Linked DNA regions of Stegostoma tigrinum. The protein of the gene in region 2 interacts with the protein of the main gene of each other region in a pairwise test. Links are inferred from orthologs where the notes say so. Each region holds a gene or a part of one and is shown on either strand. Other genes may lie near its edges.

Region 1 (7,262 bases), on a different chromosome or scaffold from region 2:
TGCAGGTTGCAAAGGGACTTTGATAGGATTCAGAGCTGGGCATAGAAGTGACAGATGGATTTCAACTCAGAAAAGTGTGAAGTGATTCGTTTTGGAAGGTCAAATTTGAATGCAGAATACAGGGTTAATGGCAGGATTCTCGGCAGTGCGGAGGAACAGAGGAACCTCGGGGCCCACATCCATAGATCCCTCAAAGTTGCTACCCATGTTGATAGTGTTGTAAAGAAAGCATATGGTGTGTTGGCTTTCATCGACAGGGGAAATGAGTTTAAGAGCCGCGAGGTTATGCTGCAGGTCTATAAAACCCTGGTTAGACCACACTTGGAATATTGTGTTCAGTTCTGATCACCTCAATATTGGAAAGATGTGGAAGCTTTAGAGAGGGTGCAGAGGAGATTTACCAAGATGCTGCCTGGATTGGAGGGCAGCCTTATGAGGAAAGGTTAAGGGAGCTAGGGCATTTTACATTGGAGCGAAGAAGGATGAGAGGTGAATTGTACAAGATGATGAGAGGCATAGATAAAGTGGATAGCCAGAGACATTTCCCGAGAATGGAAATGACTATTATGAGGGGGCATTATTTTAAGGAGATTGGAGGAAGGCGTAGGGGAGATATGAGAGGTAGGTTCTTTACACAGAGAGTGGTGGGAGTGTGGAATGCACTGCCGGTAGTCGTAGTAGAGTGAGATACATTAGGGTCATTAAAGCAACTCTTGGATATGCACATGGATGATAGTAAAAGAGACAACAAAGTGTGAAGCTGGATGAACACAGCAGGCCAAGTAGCACCTTAGGAGCACGAAAGTTGACGTTTCGGGCCTAGACCCTTCATCAGAGAGGGGTCTAGGCTCGAAAGGTCAGCTTTTGTGCTCCTGAGATGCTGCTTGGCCTGCTGTGTTCATCCAGCTTCACACTTTGTTGTCTCAGATTCTCCAGCATCTGCAGTTCCCATTATGTCTGGATGTTAGTAAAATGTAGGATATGCAGGGTAGTTTCGCTCTCAGAATAGAATAATAGGTCGGTACAACATCGTGGGCTGAAGGGCCAGTACTGTTGTATATTCTATGTAATTTAGATTCATTAAACTCACTTTGTGTATTTCATCATATTTCTTTGCATTAAGTTTTGACTATTCTCTCTTTGCCTCTTTCATGAATCAACCTTCTTCCAACTATAAAATTGGGTGGGATCTTCCCATGCCATGAATGATGATGACTAATTTGGAAGGACTGAGTGAGATGTTGAATGGGGGCTTTCATTCGGAATCAACAATTCAAATTTTCCAACTGAGTTCCAGATGTGGAAAGAACATTCCCGCCAGTGAGAGGTGAGAGGCCTATTAATAGGAATGATTGCTCAGCCTCAACCTCACTTATGTGTAAGTACACCTTGTTTATCTGCAGACTTCTGTCTACCACCCTCCAAATGGAAACCAGTTGCAGAAATACTCAACAAAGAAAAAGTTTCTAGAAAAAGTTTCTAAGTGGGTGCCTGGCAATCCCAGCCCACTGCTTCAGCCTCCAGAAACCAAGCACCAAAGTCTCACTGCGGTCTCCATGGACAGTGGCCGCACACATTCTATGCCCACGGACATTGGCAGCCAAGACCATATCAGTCTTTCTGCAATCTCATGCCACACCTCCGACCCATTCGCAGTAAGCTCCATTCTGGAATGCATCAATCATTGCAGTGCTGCGCATGATAGACTTGGTGTGGGGGAATAGGCATCGATAAGGGGTTGGAACGTTTTGCATCTTGGGGATCCTCACATGCTGTCTCAGCATTCACTCACTTTGCTTAGATGTTTACAACATCCTCAGGTTTACCATGCCTCTTTTCCCTATGCTCCTTCAGGCAGAATGAAGGGATAGATCATATTTCTACCTTGACTTGCCTTCTTGTGCAGACACAAAGCCCGACATTCTGTTATGGTGGTCAGCAGTTCGTCAGACCAGGGGTTGGGCATGTTACTGTGTGGCACTATACTGAGTCAATCTCACACCTGCATCATATGTCAGCACTGTACATAGAAAATACACCACACGCGCAGCAAGAAAATAGACTTTACTCGAAGGCTCCAGAGGCTAGCCCGAAACATCAGCATTTGTGCTCCTAAGATGCTGCTTGGCCTGTTGTGTTCATCCAGCCCCACACTTTGTTATCAAGGTAAGAACCTCTTCAGCCATGGGGTGCTGTTACAGCTGGTCAAGAACAGCCCTTGATGTCACCTCAGGAGCTTGGACATGGTCATTTGGCCAACTGGGATGGCCATTCACCTCTTTGTAGCTGAGGGGCTGAATGTCAAGCAGCACAGCACCCATCTGGTTCATTCTCCCCACATCATGGACTATTTTCTCCTGGAATGAGAGAAAGGGAGGGTTTGAATGAGATTAAGGTAGGAGGCAGAACTGGTAGTTTTGGAGCAGGTGGTCAGAAGCTGATGCTAGAAATGATGGGTTAGTGGTACTATCACTGGACTGTTAATCCAAGGAACCAGATAATGTCTTGGGGAGCCAGGTTTGAATCCCGCCGTGGCAGGTGGAGATTGAATTCAATAAATATCTGGAATTAAGAGTCTAATGATGATCGTGAATCCATTGTCGATTGTCAGAAAAACCCTGATGCAGGGCAGTTTTGCTCTCAGAGTAGAATAATAGGTCGGTACAACATCGTGGGCTGAAGGGCCAGTACTGTTGTATGTTCTATGTAATTTAGATTCATTAAACTCACTTTGTGTATTTCATCATATTTCTTTCAGAAAAACCCATTCAGTAATGTCCCTGAGGGAAGGAGACTGCCATCCTTACCTGGTCTGGCCTACATGTAACTCCAGACCCACAGCAATGTAGTTGACTCTTAACAGCCCTCTGGGCAATTAAGGATGGACAATAAATGCTAACTGGCCAGTGTTGCCGTCATCCCATGAATGAATAAAGAAAAAAAAGTGGCCTGAGTGAGTGAATAGGCAACCCAGAGGCCATGGTGTGAGGGAATTGGGTGGGTGAGAATGAGTGAGGAAAGATGCTTCACACAATACTGAGACTGGTATGGTAGGAAGAGGGTATAGTGGCAGAGATAGAGTGAGAGTAAGGTAGCAGAGTGAAGGTGGTGGTAGTCTTCCTGGCAGAGTGGGGAGGTCATTGACCTTCTTCTAGCGGTGCTGTCTTCCTTCCAGCCAGATGCCTGCAATTGCATTGACCTGGGTGGTAAATATGTGCCTTAGGCTGGCAGACTTTAGTGATGTGCCCTACTCTGTCAATCTTGGCGAAGGGGTAGTCCTAACCTTGCATCACTCTCTCCGGTGGAGCTCCAAGCCCCTGCCCACAAAGCAGGCACCAAATTCCCTTCTCTCCCATGCCAGGCTGAATGTCACCAAATGCTTGACCAGGTGAACAATGACCTTTTAAAAGTGGTACCAATACAAGGTCAGTGATAAGCACTTTCAGTTACAGCGAGTGGGAGAACGAGGTCAGTATCAGACAAGAGGGAAACTATTGGAATGTGGTAAATCGTCAATGGGGTGAGTTTGGAAACTGTAACATGAGAATACTCTTTAGGCTTTGCAAAGTGAAACTCTCTGTGCAAGTCAACAAAAATGACACTTTGCCTGAAGAAAAGGTAAGATTCAGCCCATATTTATTTCATTTAGCTTAGTGTTCAGATAAGCTTAATTTATTGTTGGATTGGGTAACCAGCACTACCCTTCTAACATGCCCCTTTCAATCGCTTAACCTTTGTCAGGTTTCTGGAGCCTTCCATGAAACATTCTCGTGCCTTTGCATTCACTAATGCTTTAGGCCAGTGCCAGAGTCTACTGTTCAGTGTGCAGAAATTCAAGAGACTGATAACACGCTGATATCTTTTAGCGAGTCTCACAAGTAATGGCAACTCCTCTTCAGCTGTCACACTTTGACGGACAATGGCATCTGTTTTCCAAAAATAAATCCACTGGCTGCACCCAGCTCATTTCTCAAGGGGATAGAGACATTACACATGTAATGTTGCAGGATTGTTGTAATACCTGACCAAAAATTTTCCTTTTTCTTTGAAATGAGCTATGACTAACTATTCTGAATCATCGTCAGGAGTTAAAGGAATGTACAATAGTTTGTCTGAATTAACCTAGGCATCGTGTTTCACCAGGTGGGTGTTCTTGCTATTTTCATCCACAAAGCCGACGCTCCCCCCCCCCCCTCAACTCTCCTCACCATTTTTTGACTTGGTACAGGCTGGATGAGTCAGACCATTTATAGAGCTCACTTTTGACTGCCTGAACGTGTCAAGATTAGCTGAAGATTAGTGGCCAAGGTTAAAGCTCGTAGTGCTGGGCTCTTGCTCATTCTCTCAATGACGGTCGGTGACATGGATAAAGTAGAAATCTTCGATGCAGATGGCAAGGGCAGGGGGCTGAAGGCCAAGCAAGATCTTCTGAGTGGGGATGTGGTCTTTGCTGAGCCAGCGTATGCTGCGGTTGTGTTTGACAAGTAAGTACGTCTGTCTACTTGTCTTCCTACAAAGTCACCTTACATTGCTCCAGAATGCAAGTTATAGAATCAAGTTCAGGTGTTGGATAAGAGTTTTTATTTACATTTGATTTTAATACAGCAGCGCTTCTTCGACATTTCATTTCCTATTGACTGTTTAATTGATTGAGTTCCTTGTCTTCATTGACTGAATTCTGCAAGGAATGCCCGAAAACTGTTGTCTTTAATTCCACTGGATACTACAGTCTTCCAGTTGACAATGATCTAGCTTCACCATGAGCTGGTGGGACAATCATATGGGATCATTTTACGTTGCTACAGGGAGTTACTTGGCTCAGTTCTTTCCATTTGGGGGTTTTCAGGCCAAAGGTATTTCTTTAGGGAGAAAGGTTCAGAACCCAGAGTCAAACAGCACAGAAACAGATCCTTTGGTCTGACTTGTCCACTTTGGCCAGATATCCCAATCTGACCAAACCCTATTTGCCAGCATTCAAAGTGGGAACTGTCATTTATTTCATAGAAACCAATCAGGGCTGTTTTTGAAGTGGTTGTTATTAAAATGGAGGAAAATTGACAAAACCTCATTTTTTTAGTTGGCCTTTCCTAGTTGCTTGGGAAGGTGATGACAAGCATTTCTATTTAACTTTTTAATCCTTGCCTTGCTAAAGCTCCAATGTCGGTATTTGATGTGAAACTGCAGGGTTTGAACCTCGTAGTGTTCCAGAAGTGGCGCTTAAATTCAGGTCAGGATGATCTTGATATTGAGGAGAACTTGCAGGTGACGCTGTCCCTCCAATCCTGGTACTCTTATCCTTCTCAGTGTGGCCGAGACTGTAGACTGGGACATGACATTCGAAATGCGGCTAGAAAGTGGCTGCTGTTACCGTAACCTGCCGGGAGATTCATCCAGTGGCAGATCTCCCGATCAAGTGGATCACATTCCGTCCAGGATGGTTTAATGTTTCAGATATCCCGTTCACTATGTCAATCTAATCCCAACTTGAGCCTTGTAAGTTATAGAGTGCACTGAATGAGTGGGAAGTGAGTCACTTGTCAGAGTGATGGAGTTTTTGCTTTGTTCTTGTGTCTGTCTTGTTGCTTTGACTTAGCATACTCGACAAAGGATTTAGAATCACGGATTTGTGGAACTTCCGAAGGAGGCCTTTCAATCGATCATGTCTAAGATAGATCACAACAAAAACAAGTCACCTATTGCCATTCCTCTGCCTTTTCCCTGATAGAATCATAAAATGATCAATGGTGGAATGTTTATATGTAGTGCTGTTGGAGACTTAGGGAGAAATGCGAAGTGGTTACACAGTCTGCATTTGGATTCACAATGTGAAGGAAACTGCATGGTGAGCAATGAGTACAGAAGGCTGGATTGAAAGAAAAAGTACAAGAAAACTGCTGCCTCACCTGTAAGATGTGCTTGGGACCCCGAACGGTAAGAAAGAAGAGGGGACAGTTCCACTGTCACAATTCTACCAATGCATGGGGAGGGGGGCATGGGTTTGCTCTCAGTACAGCTGAGCTATTTCCTACTATTCACATCTATTTTGAATCCAGATCTCTCCTTTGTGGCCATTAGAATTCACTTTGCCTTTTGCTCCAGGCATTCTCATGATCTGTTCCCCTCACCCCCCGTCCACCTTTGTCAACAGCATAAAAAGCATTATTTTCCAGCCCTCTTCAATTCTGAGGAAGAATCACTGGATTTGAAATGTTTCTCTCTTCAGAGATGCTGCCAGGCCTGCTGTGTTTCTCTGCCACTTTCTGTTTTTATTTCTGATTCCCAAAGTCCACAGTACTTCAATCCCACATAACTGCTCTGCTCAATATGGTTTGCATCAGGTGTGTCTCTCCTGGGGGAAAGCAGAAATGTTTGTTGCAATGTCCTGAAAAGATAAAACATCCTGGTTGACTCTTAGGAAACCCTGGTTTGCACTCAGCCTGAGAGGGAACATTTGGGAAGACATAAACCACATTGAGACTTCACTGGGGATGTACAGAGGTCAAGTCAAGACATCAGAGAGTGAAAGTAAATAGCCCATTTGTCTCACCTTTCCTATCTGTGACAGAGTCTGCAGAACAAGCAATGGACTTATCAACCCTTTCAAAAGTTGGGAAGTTATGATGTAGTTGCTCTGGATCTTGGTGCAGTTGCACTTGGAGTATGGTGTTCAGTTTTGGTCACCTTGCTATAGGAAGGATGTTATTAAACTGGAAAGAGTACGGAAGAAATTTACAAGGATGTTACCAGGAGTCAAGGGACTGAGTTATTGGGAGAGGTTGGACAGGCTAGGATTTGTTTCTTTAGAGCGTAGGAGTCTGAAGGGTGATCTTATAAAAGTGTATAAGATCACGAGAGTCATGGTTTAGGGTGAATGCACTCAGTCTTTTTTCCAGGGTTGGGGAATCGAGGATTACAGGGCATCAGTTGAAGGTAAGAGGGGAAAGAATACTTTGGAACCTGAGGGGCAACTTTTTTACACAGAGGGTGGTACACATATGGAATGAGCTGCCAGTGGAAGTGGTTGAGGCAGGTACATTAACAACATTTAAAAGGCATTTGGATGAATACATTGAAAGGAAAGGATGAGAAAGATATGGGTCAAGTGCATGGAAATGGGGTTAGCGTGGATGGATATTTTGGTCGGCATGGACCAGTTTGGGCTGAAGGGCCTTTCTCCATGCTGTAGGACTCTATGGCCCTGTGACACTATATCCCATCAAACCATAGTGGATGCAAATCATCCATGATCCTGAGCACTGCCT
Region 2 (7,544 bases):
CTCTGGATTACAGGCACACAGTTTTTGCCAGGACCTTCAGCCTCACTCAAGGGCTTGGACCTGAAGTCTCCTTCTGGGAACCGTGTCGAGGTCTGCCCTATCCCATTAATGCATCCCCCAGAATGGATGTCTGCCCCCATCTTCTGAAGGTGATTGATCAGGTGCGCAGGCTTCAACTCTCTCAGGTTTTCATGCTTTGCCAGGAATTGCAGCACCTCTTTGGCACACATCTGGAAGCCAGACTGAAACATCTCATGGCTTGACTCAGTCGCCTTGGCTGTTTGTTCACCTGAGAAGCAAAGAAATCTGCGTTAAACCAGGTGACCTACATAAAATCCTTCCCTTAGAAATAAAAAAAGGCCACACTCTAATTGCACTTCAGGATCTTTGCAGAATTTTTCAGTTTCAATCATCTCTCAGTGCCTGCACCTCAGGTCTATCTAGAATTCAATTTGGTGAATGCAGTGGCTTCCATTTTTAGCTTGCTCACCAGAGTTTACAATTGGCAGCCAGTCTGGTTTCTGATACAGTGCAACTTAAAGTTCCCATCGTGCTTTATTAATAGAAGCAGATTTCTTAAGCAGCTCAAAACCTTTAAAATAGCATGTTTGGGAACACTCAATGTCTGAACTGTCGAGAAGAGAAATAAATTCAGCAGCATTCCTACCACCATTTTGGACTGTACCAACCCTGTCACTATGACAACAAGTTGCAAGGTTTAAAATTAAAGATTCAGAACCGAGAGGAGGCGAGAAGTTGGTGTCGCAAATATATTAATGTCATCAGACAATTTTTCATAACACTAAAATAAAACCTATCTAAAGCATAAACTAACTCAAACATCTTATCTTTCATTTAATTTTTAGAGGAACTAATAACGAATAGTTTCTGGTATGTTCAGAGGGTGAATACGGAACTTACCGATTTGCAGACCATTTTGCAGGGCTAATATTTTCTGCTGCTGCTGTTCAATGAGGCCAGTCAATGCCTTCACGTGTTTCAAGGTAAGCTCAAGTACCACAGCCTTCTCCAAATGTCCCAAAGTCTGAAATCAAGATGCGTGCATTATTAACAAGAGCACATCACTTACAGGGTAAATGACGTGGCATTCTACAAAAACACCCTCACAAGCAGGCTGAGGACAAGCCTGTTTGTTCCACACAAGATCAACTTGCATCTCACATTCTCAGTTACTGAAATACATAAATCAAAAGGCATGGGCAACTATTAAGAAACCTTGTAACTCACTGCAAAAATAACCATTAAGAAAACCATTGATACAACTACTATGTAATAATTAACCATAAAAATTACAATACCTAACTGAATTGTAACCAACCGTAAAAATGCCAATAACTAGACAATTAATATCCAATCAATAAAAATCTAGACTCACGTTGATTTTAATTGTTAAATGTTCTATATCAGTGGGATCTGGCTGAACAGCATATTATAAATATTTCCTGCAACCATTTTACTGGAATCACTTTGCAGGTGCTCCTGAGGAGCAGCACTGCAGAAACTAACTAGGAAATCCCAAGCGTGTACATTATGCAAAAAAAATTCATATTCTCTGCACCAACCCCTCACCCGCTACCAAAACAATCCATTTAATCTATTTAAGATTCTAATTTCCTTTGATTTTTATTCAAAGCAAATTTTGAACTTTCCCCTTCGTTAAACGCGTTTGGATCTTCGATTTTACTCGAAAGCAAAACAGAAAGAGATATTGCAGGTTTACATAAATAATCTACACACCTCCCCCCCCCCCCACCCCGACCCCCCAGTTCAGCAATTGAATCGATAGGACAAACGGCGTCTTTAATGCTGTGAACCAGTTATGTCAAAGCACATTGAATTTGCTTCTCTCACCGTCAGTTTGAGATGTTCAGGCAGCATGTCCTTTAACTGGGCTATGCATTCATTAATCCTATCCCGTCTTTTCTTTTCGATCAGCCGGTGTGGTAATTTATACGTTTCCTGAGATTTTAAAAATAAAAGAGGGTTAGTAATTGCCATGAGTGCGCGTAACTTAACAAGGGTCGATTTGCAATGCCGCAATTAAAAACGCCATCCAGATATAAACCCAAGTCTACCACTGCCTATATACAGAAGATAAAGGGACACTGTACCTTGCTGTCGTCACCTCTCTTTAATCCCCTCTTGGCTTTATAAACAAACATGTGAGAGAATTCCATTCTGGAGGGGGGAAAGAGGCAGAAAAAAAATGAAACTCAGGCAAGTGAATTTTCTCTTTTCAGAATTAAAGAGCAAATTCGGTTCACGATGAAGCAAAATTAAAACACAAATTAAAATTCAGAGGCATACCCTTGCATCTCGTTATTTTCAAAAATTGGGATTTTCGGCAGGCAAGGAGGTGGCTGGCCAGCGGTGATCCTGTCCATTTCAGTAATTTCGCTGCTTTGTATAGTGATTGCTGGCTGGCTGGGGCTTTCCTTTTCCCTATCTGTCTGGCTTGTCTGTCTGTCTGCCCAGCTCTCTCTCTCTCGTTCAGTGTATCCTGCTGACTGTGATCAGCCGGAGTTTACTGCACCACACTAGCCTGCCTTTAATGAAACGTGTGGGTGTTCAGGGCTACGTGTTCAACCGTGTGACTCCAGGCACGTCTTTCCTCTTACAGTAAAAAAAAGCTCAAGTCACATGAGACTCACGTGTACAGGAGGCCGCTCACATCCCTCTAATCTGTTTCTCCAAAACAAGCCGGGTTGGGGGAAAGGACATTACATTTAACGCTGTGTTATTTTAAAATAAACAAGTAGGACAACTCGTCAGTCCGTGACTGGAATATTGCGTGCCTGTGTTTTAAAATGCATGTATCAACATTTCTCCTTCACCTCACAGGGCCCCCCACAATGTGATGCCTGGAAGTGATTGATTATCAACCGATCACTGACAATTCCAGCATGTGGGTTTCTGTTTTCTCTGCGTTGGTCGCGTTGGTCAGTTCAGCGAGTCGTGCAGCTTGATGGGTATTGTCGTAAAGTCACCCTATATGTTTTTCAGGTCACGCTTCCCAGTAGAACATGTGAAGTGAAGCAAGACTGTAATTCATTTCCAACCCCCCCCCCCCCCGGCTAAAACATAGCTCATGACATTTAGCAAGGCTGATGGGCTAAAAATGGGTGAAACGGTTGCGTTGTGCCTGTTTTTTTATTAAAAATTGCAACCATCAATGAGCACCGAGTCAGACGGGAAATCCGACATGCAGATTGCCCCTTTCTATCTATATCGCGTCTGCGGTGATAAATATTGTCTCAGACTTTCAAGTCGGCCACATCCAGTTAGAAGCTGAGGTTTGGGGGTTTGGGGTGCAACAGATAAGCGAGAGATGTCCCACCGGACCATGCACTGCTATCATTGCACAGTGTCCTGGGCTTGACCACTGTTTGCAGATTCCCAGGCAAAAAAAAACGCCTTGGCCGCAGACCGATCGATCTGACAACTTCAGCGCCCGCGGGAAACGTGAGCGATCCGTCCTCAACGTGAAGCCACTGTCAGTCCGGAGTAAAATGCAACTGCAACAGAGACAGTACGGTTTGTTGGCGGTGGCTGTTCGTTGCATATCCATAGCGAGGGAGGGGAGGGTGGATGTGTGATGGTTAATATACATCACTTTTTATTGGAAATTCAGAGCTCATTCGCTCCTGGCTGAAAAAATAATCTGAATGCCCCTCTTTAATTGAAGTTAACACCCCCCCCCCATTACTTCAGACTAATTATGATAGTGAGTGCAGATTAACATCTATGTGTGTGTTCTCTCTTTCTAAGGCTGTTAGCTCTCCGCACCTTGAACGCTGATATTTGGCTCCGCCTTAAAGACACCGTGCGGGGTAACGTGAGGTCCCTTTGGCAAAACGCTAGCGAAGACCACACAGACAGAGCCTGCTTTTCACAGTCTGACCATGGGGAGGGGAACGTGACAGCAGACGGATTGAACCACGCTGGGGACAGGGACATCCACCAATAACAAATTCCTCAGCCTCCCCGATCAGACCCTTAAAACAATATCGAGCAATGAATGGGGTGGCGGGGGGGAAGGTGGGTAGACGACTCGGGGTTGTGCCCTTTCTGTTTCCGTTGTTAGTTCGCCCCGCGTTACACTTTATTTACATATTTAAAAGAACGCGTCTCCGATGAGCCCGGTCTCCCACATTAACAGTGGGCATAGGATATCCTTTTAGGCAGGATCGCTTCGGGAGAAATTCTCGAAAGATGTTTTTGAGAATTCTGCTTTGTTTTAAACATCCAAGAGAAGGCTCCGGTTGGAAGGAATACGAGATCATGTTCACACACACCCCCCCCCACCCTCTAAATAAAGGGCCAGTGTTATCGAAGGATTACAGTAGAGGTTCAGCCCCTTTCGGCTCAACTCTCTCTAAGATTCCCATAGCGGCGGGGGTCATCCACAGTTGAATACACGTGAAGACCGCACGTCCCCTGACTCGGAAGGTGAGAAAGGGAAAAGGCGGCTGACCCAGACAGACGACCCATGACCCACCCACCCACCCTTCCATACACCGTATCAGCAGCCAACTTTTCCGGCCTCCACAATTTCGGGCGGTAGCTCTTCGCGTTCCTAACCTGACCTCCTCCGAGTTGGACGCGAACCAGCCATCATCAGCTCTGATTGGACGGGTTCCTGAAAGTTTCTTCAAATGACGTGCTGCCTCCCCCAGTCAAATAGCCTTTTTTTAAACAAACAAAAACGTCAACTCCCTTTAAATATGTTAAATATATTATGGACAGGCGTATATAATCGCCGTTCTAAGCACACACTTTTTAATGAAATTAGCATATTTTACACTGGTGGTCGCTTGTAAACATGTTCACGGCGATCAAGCTTCATTTCTTCAAGACTGCAGGGGAAATGGGGGGGGGGGGGGGGGGGGAGGTGGTTTAGGGTTAGCCAAGGGATGTCTGGGTAGCTCAGCATCAGGAGCTGCACCCCAACTGTAGATGTGAAACAAATAAGCCATTCAACCTGTCCAAAAGTTAACCCCCGCTCATCTTGATCTTTTCTCGTCTTCGGTGCAGCCAAATTATTCCGGAATCTGCTTCCCACCACGGGCAATGCATTTCGTTGCGAAAATTAGAAAAAAACTTCTACGTTAAAAAAAAGTGCGCAGAGAAAAGAAACAACGCCAAAAAATCCACGCGGTGCAACCGTCTCGTGTGTGTGTGTGCTATCTTTTGTATGTTGACTTGGACACAGCGGGGTTATGTTACATCGTATTGCTTAATCCACATCTTCCCCTCCCCTGTTTCACCTTGTGCCTTTATTTTCAAAAAAAGTGCACTCGTCCCTAAAACCTATTTTACCAACCCGTTTCTCTTTGCACAAGCTTAAACTTGATCTGCAGTCACGGGTATTTTTTTGTGTGTGCGCGTTGAACTCAATGGACAAGACTTGTCTCGGGGATTTCCAGCAACTGTAAACGTGTTAGTAGCCACAGTGAAGAAAAACTATTCATTCCCAAGCTCGATGGGCCACGCCACGCTCTTGATTTTTCTGGCTTGCTCGTTGCCCTTCACAGCCTCTGCCAGATTTCCGAATCACAGTTTTCCTGCCACCCCCCACTTGCCCCCACATGGTCTCAATGTTCAGCCCAAACGTGATCACAAACGTATCAAGAGGTACCACTTTCCTCATTGTCCCCAGGGACTCTTCAACAGCCAGACTTGGGGTGAGTTGGCTCCATCTAGATTAGCTTTTCCTCTTGTGGTGCAGCGGTCGTGTCCCTGTCTCTGAGCCAGAAAATCTGGGTTCAAGCCCCGGTCCTTGTCCCAATGCGTCCCAGCAGGTTTATTAAAAACATCTACACCGTTCCATGCTGAACTTTTTAAAAAAAAACAAACGGGAATTTGGTTTGCGTACGTTTGTAGGGGTAAGTTTGCAGATCGACCACGCTGTACCCCATTTCCCAAAGCAATAGAGCAAGCCCCAGTGGGCTTTTATTGCAATGCACCTAACGGCTCCCGGAACATTGCAAGAAGTAGCAGGCTCCTTTTCTATTGAACAAGAGCTTGAAACGGAGAGTTTGGAAGTGTCCCTGTTTCTGACAGGGCGGTCGGGGACTGCATATAAGCAGGACGCGGAACGTCCGAGACCACTGTGGACCTGCCTAGCCTCTCAGTTCAAAGCATACTATCACCACCTGAGAGAGTCCCATTTCCAATCCCCAAGGCAGGTGCAGGCTAATACATCAATAATTGCTGTTACTTATTAACTCATATATACATATATATAAATCCTTTCTTTAAAAAAAACCGACATCCTTTGATAAACAGCACACCACATGGCTCCCACCCTGTAAATCTACCTTTTGTTCTAAGTGGAGAGACTTTCAATTAGGCGTTTGCAGTCATCACTGCATGCCAACTTGAGTTACTATACAACCTATGGGATATGCTTGAAATATACATAAACGCTAAGCCACAAAGCCACATAAACAGTTGGGAAGTCTGGGACAAGTTACTCCCCAAAACTTTTCTACCCAAGGTAGTGGACAGCACCAACACCACTCAAGAAGCTTAAAGCCAATTCAGTACAACGTAGCCCACCTTATCTATTCAGTCCACCCAGCAAATCTGGATTGAAGTAAATCCCTAAAGTAGAGACTACACAGTATGGAGCTGGAGGACCACAGCAGGCCCAGGCCAGGCAGTATCAGAGGAGCAGGAAAGTTGACGTTTCGGCTCGGGACCCTTCTTCAGAAACAACCCGACCCGAAACGTCAACTTTCCTGCTCCTCTGATGCTGCCTGGCCTGGGACTACTGTGTTCCTCCAGCTCCACACTGCGTTGTTTCTGACTCCAGCATCTACAGTTCTTGCCATCTCTGATTGAGTAATCATCCCTAAAGTGGCATTTATTTTACCAGCACCTCCCAAACTGAAGCTTCCACCAAGAAGGACAAAGACCTTGGAACATTACCAGCTCTAAGAATCCCATTATGACTTGGAATCGTAACTCTGTTCCTTCATTAATATGGCTCAAAATCTGAAAGTAAAACTACATCTCCTCCCCCCTCCACATCATGGAACTTTTATGCAGACGAAGGTTAAAATCACATTTTGAAAGATCGATAATAAATCCCATTCTTGCCATGGATACCCAAATATCAAACAAATTAACACAAAAATCACTTCTCACTTAATGATATTCACAACAGTGAAATTCTCACTAATTTACAGCATTCCTCCCTCCCCCATTCCTATACTTAAGTTGCTGGCTCCTTGCCTGGTTGCACTTCCAAATGGTGTTGAGACCTCCGCTGTGCCTCAGGAAACTGGTTAGTTATTCTAGTGAGATAGTGCGTGGGTGCACCTCTTCACGTGATGAGGAGCTATAAGTGAGAGGTCAATAGAGTTGTTTCTCTCAAACCAGGCTGACAGGTGAGGCAACAACATTTTTCGTTATTGTTTCAGACTTTATGCATCTCAGTGATAGGTCAGAAGAATCCGGGCATTTGTGCACAAAATGGACACTCATGCTCCATTACAACACCAAGAGAGTGCTGTTGT

Evidence for each region.
Region 1: the proteins of bhlhe40 (region 2) and histone-lysine N-methyltransferase Smyd1-like interact in binary tests that used the Homo sapiens proteins (3 or more experiments, as listed by UniProt). The link is inferred for Stegostoma tigrinum from reciprocal best matches to the Homo sapiens genes BHLHE40 and SMYD1.

Annotation. Positions count from the first base shown.
Region 1 is NC_081354.1:176,261,376-176,268,637, reverse strand, and holds the start of histone-lysine N-methyltransferase Smyd1-like, read left to right. Parts: upstream 1-4,220; 5' UTR 4,221-4,347; coding exon 4,348-4,484; intron 4,485-7,262. UniProt on the Homo sapiens protein: Methylates histone H3 at 'Lys-4' (H3K4me), seems able to perform both mono-, di-, and trimethylation. Acts as a transcriptional repressor. Essential for cardiomyocyte differentiation and cardiac morphogenesis.
Region 2 is NC_081364.1:58,168,567-58,176,110, forward strand, and holds the start of bhlhe40 (class E basic helix-loop-helix protein 40), read right to left. Parts: upstream 3,033-7,544; 5' UTR 2,406-3,032; coding exon 2,329-2,405; intron 2,200-2,328; coding exon 2,133-2,199; intron 1,981-2,132; coding exon 1,873-1,980; intron 1,046-1,872; coding exon 922-1,045; intron 290-921; coding exon 1-289. UniProt on the Homo sapiens protein: Transcriptional repressor involved in the regulation of the circadian rhythm by negatively regulating the activity of the clock genes and clock-controlled genes.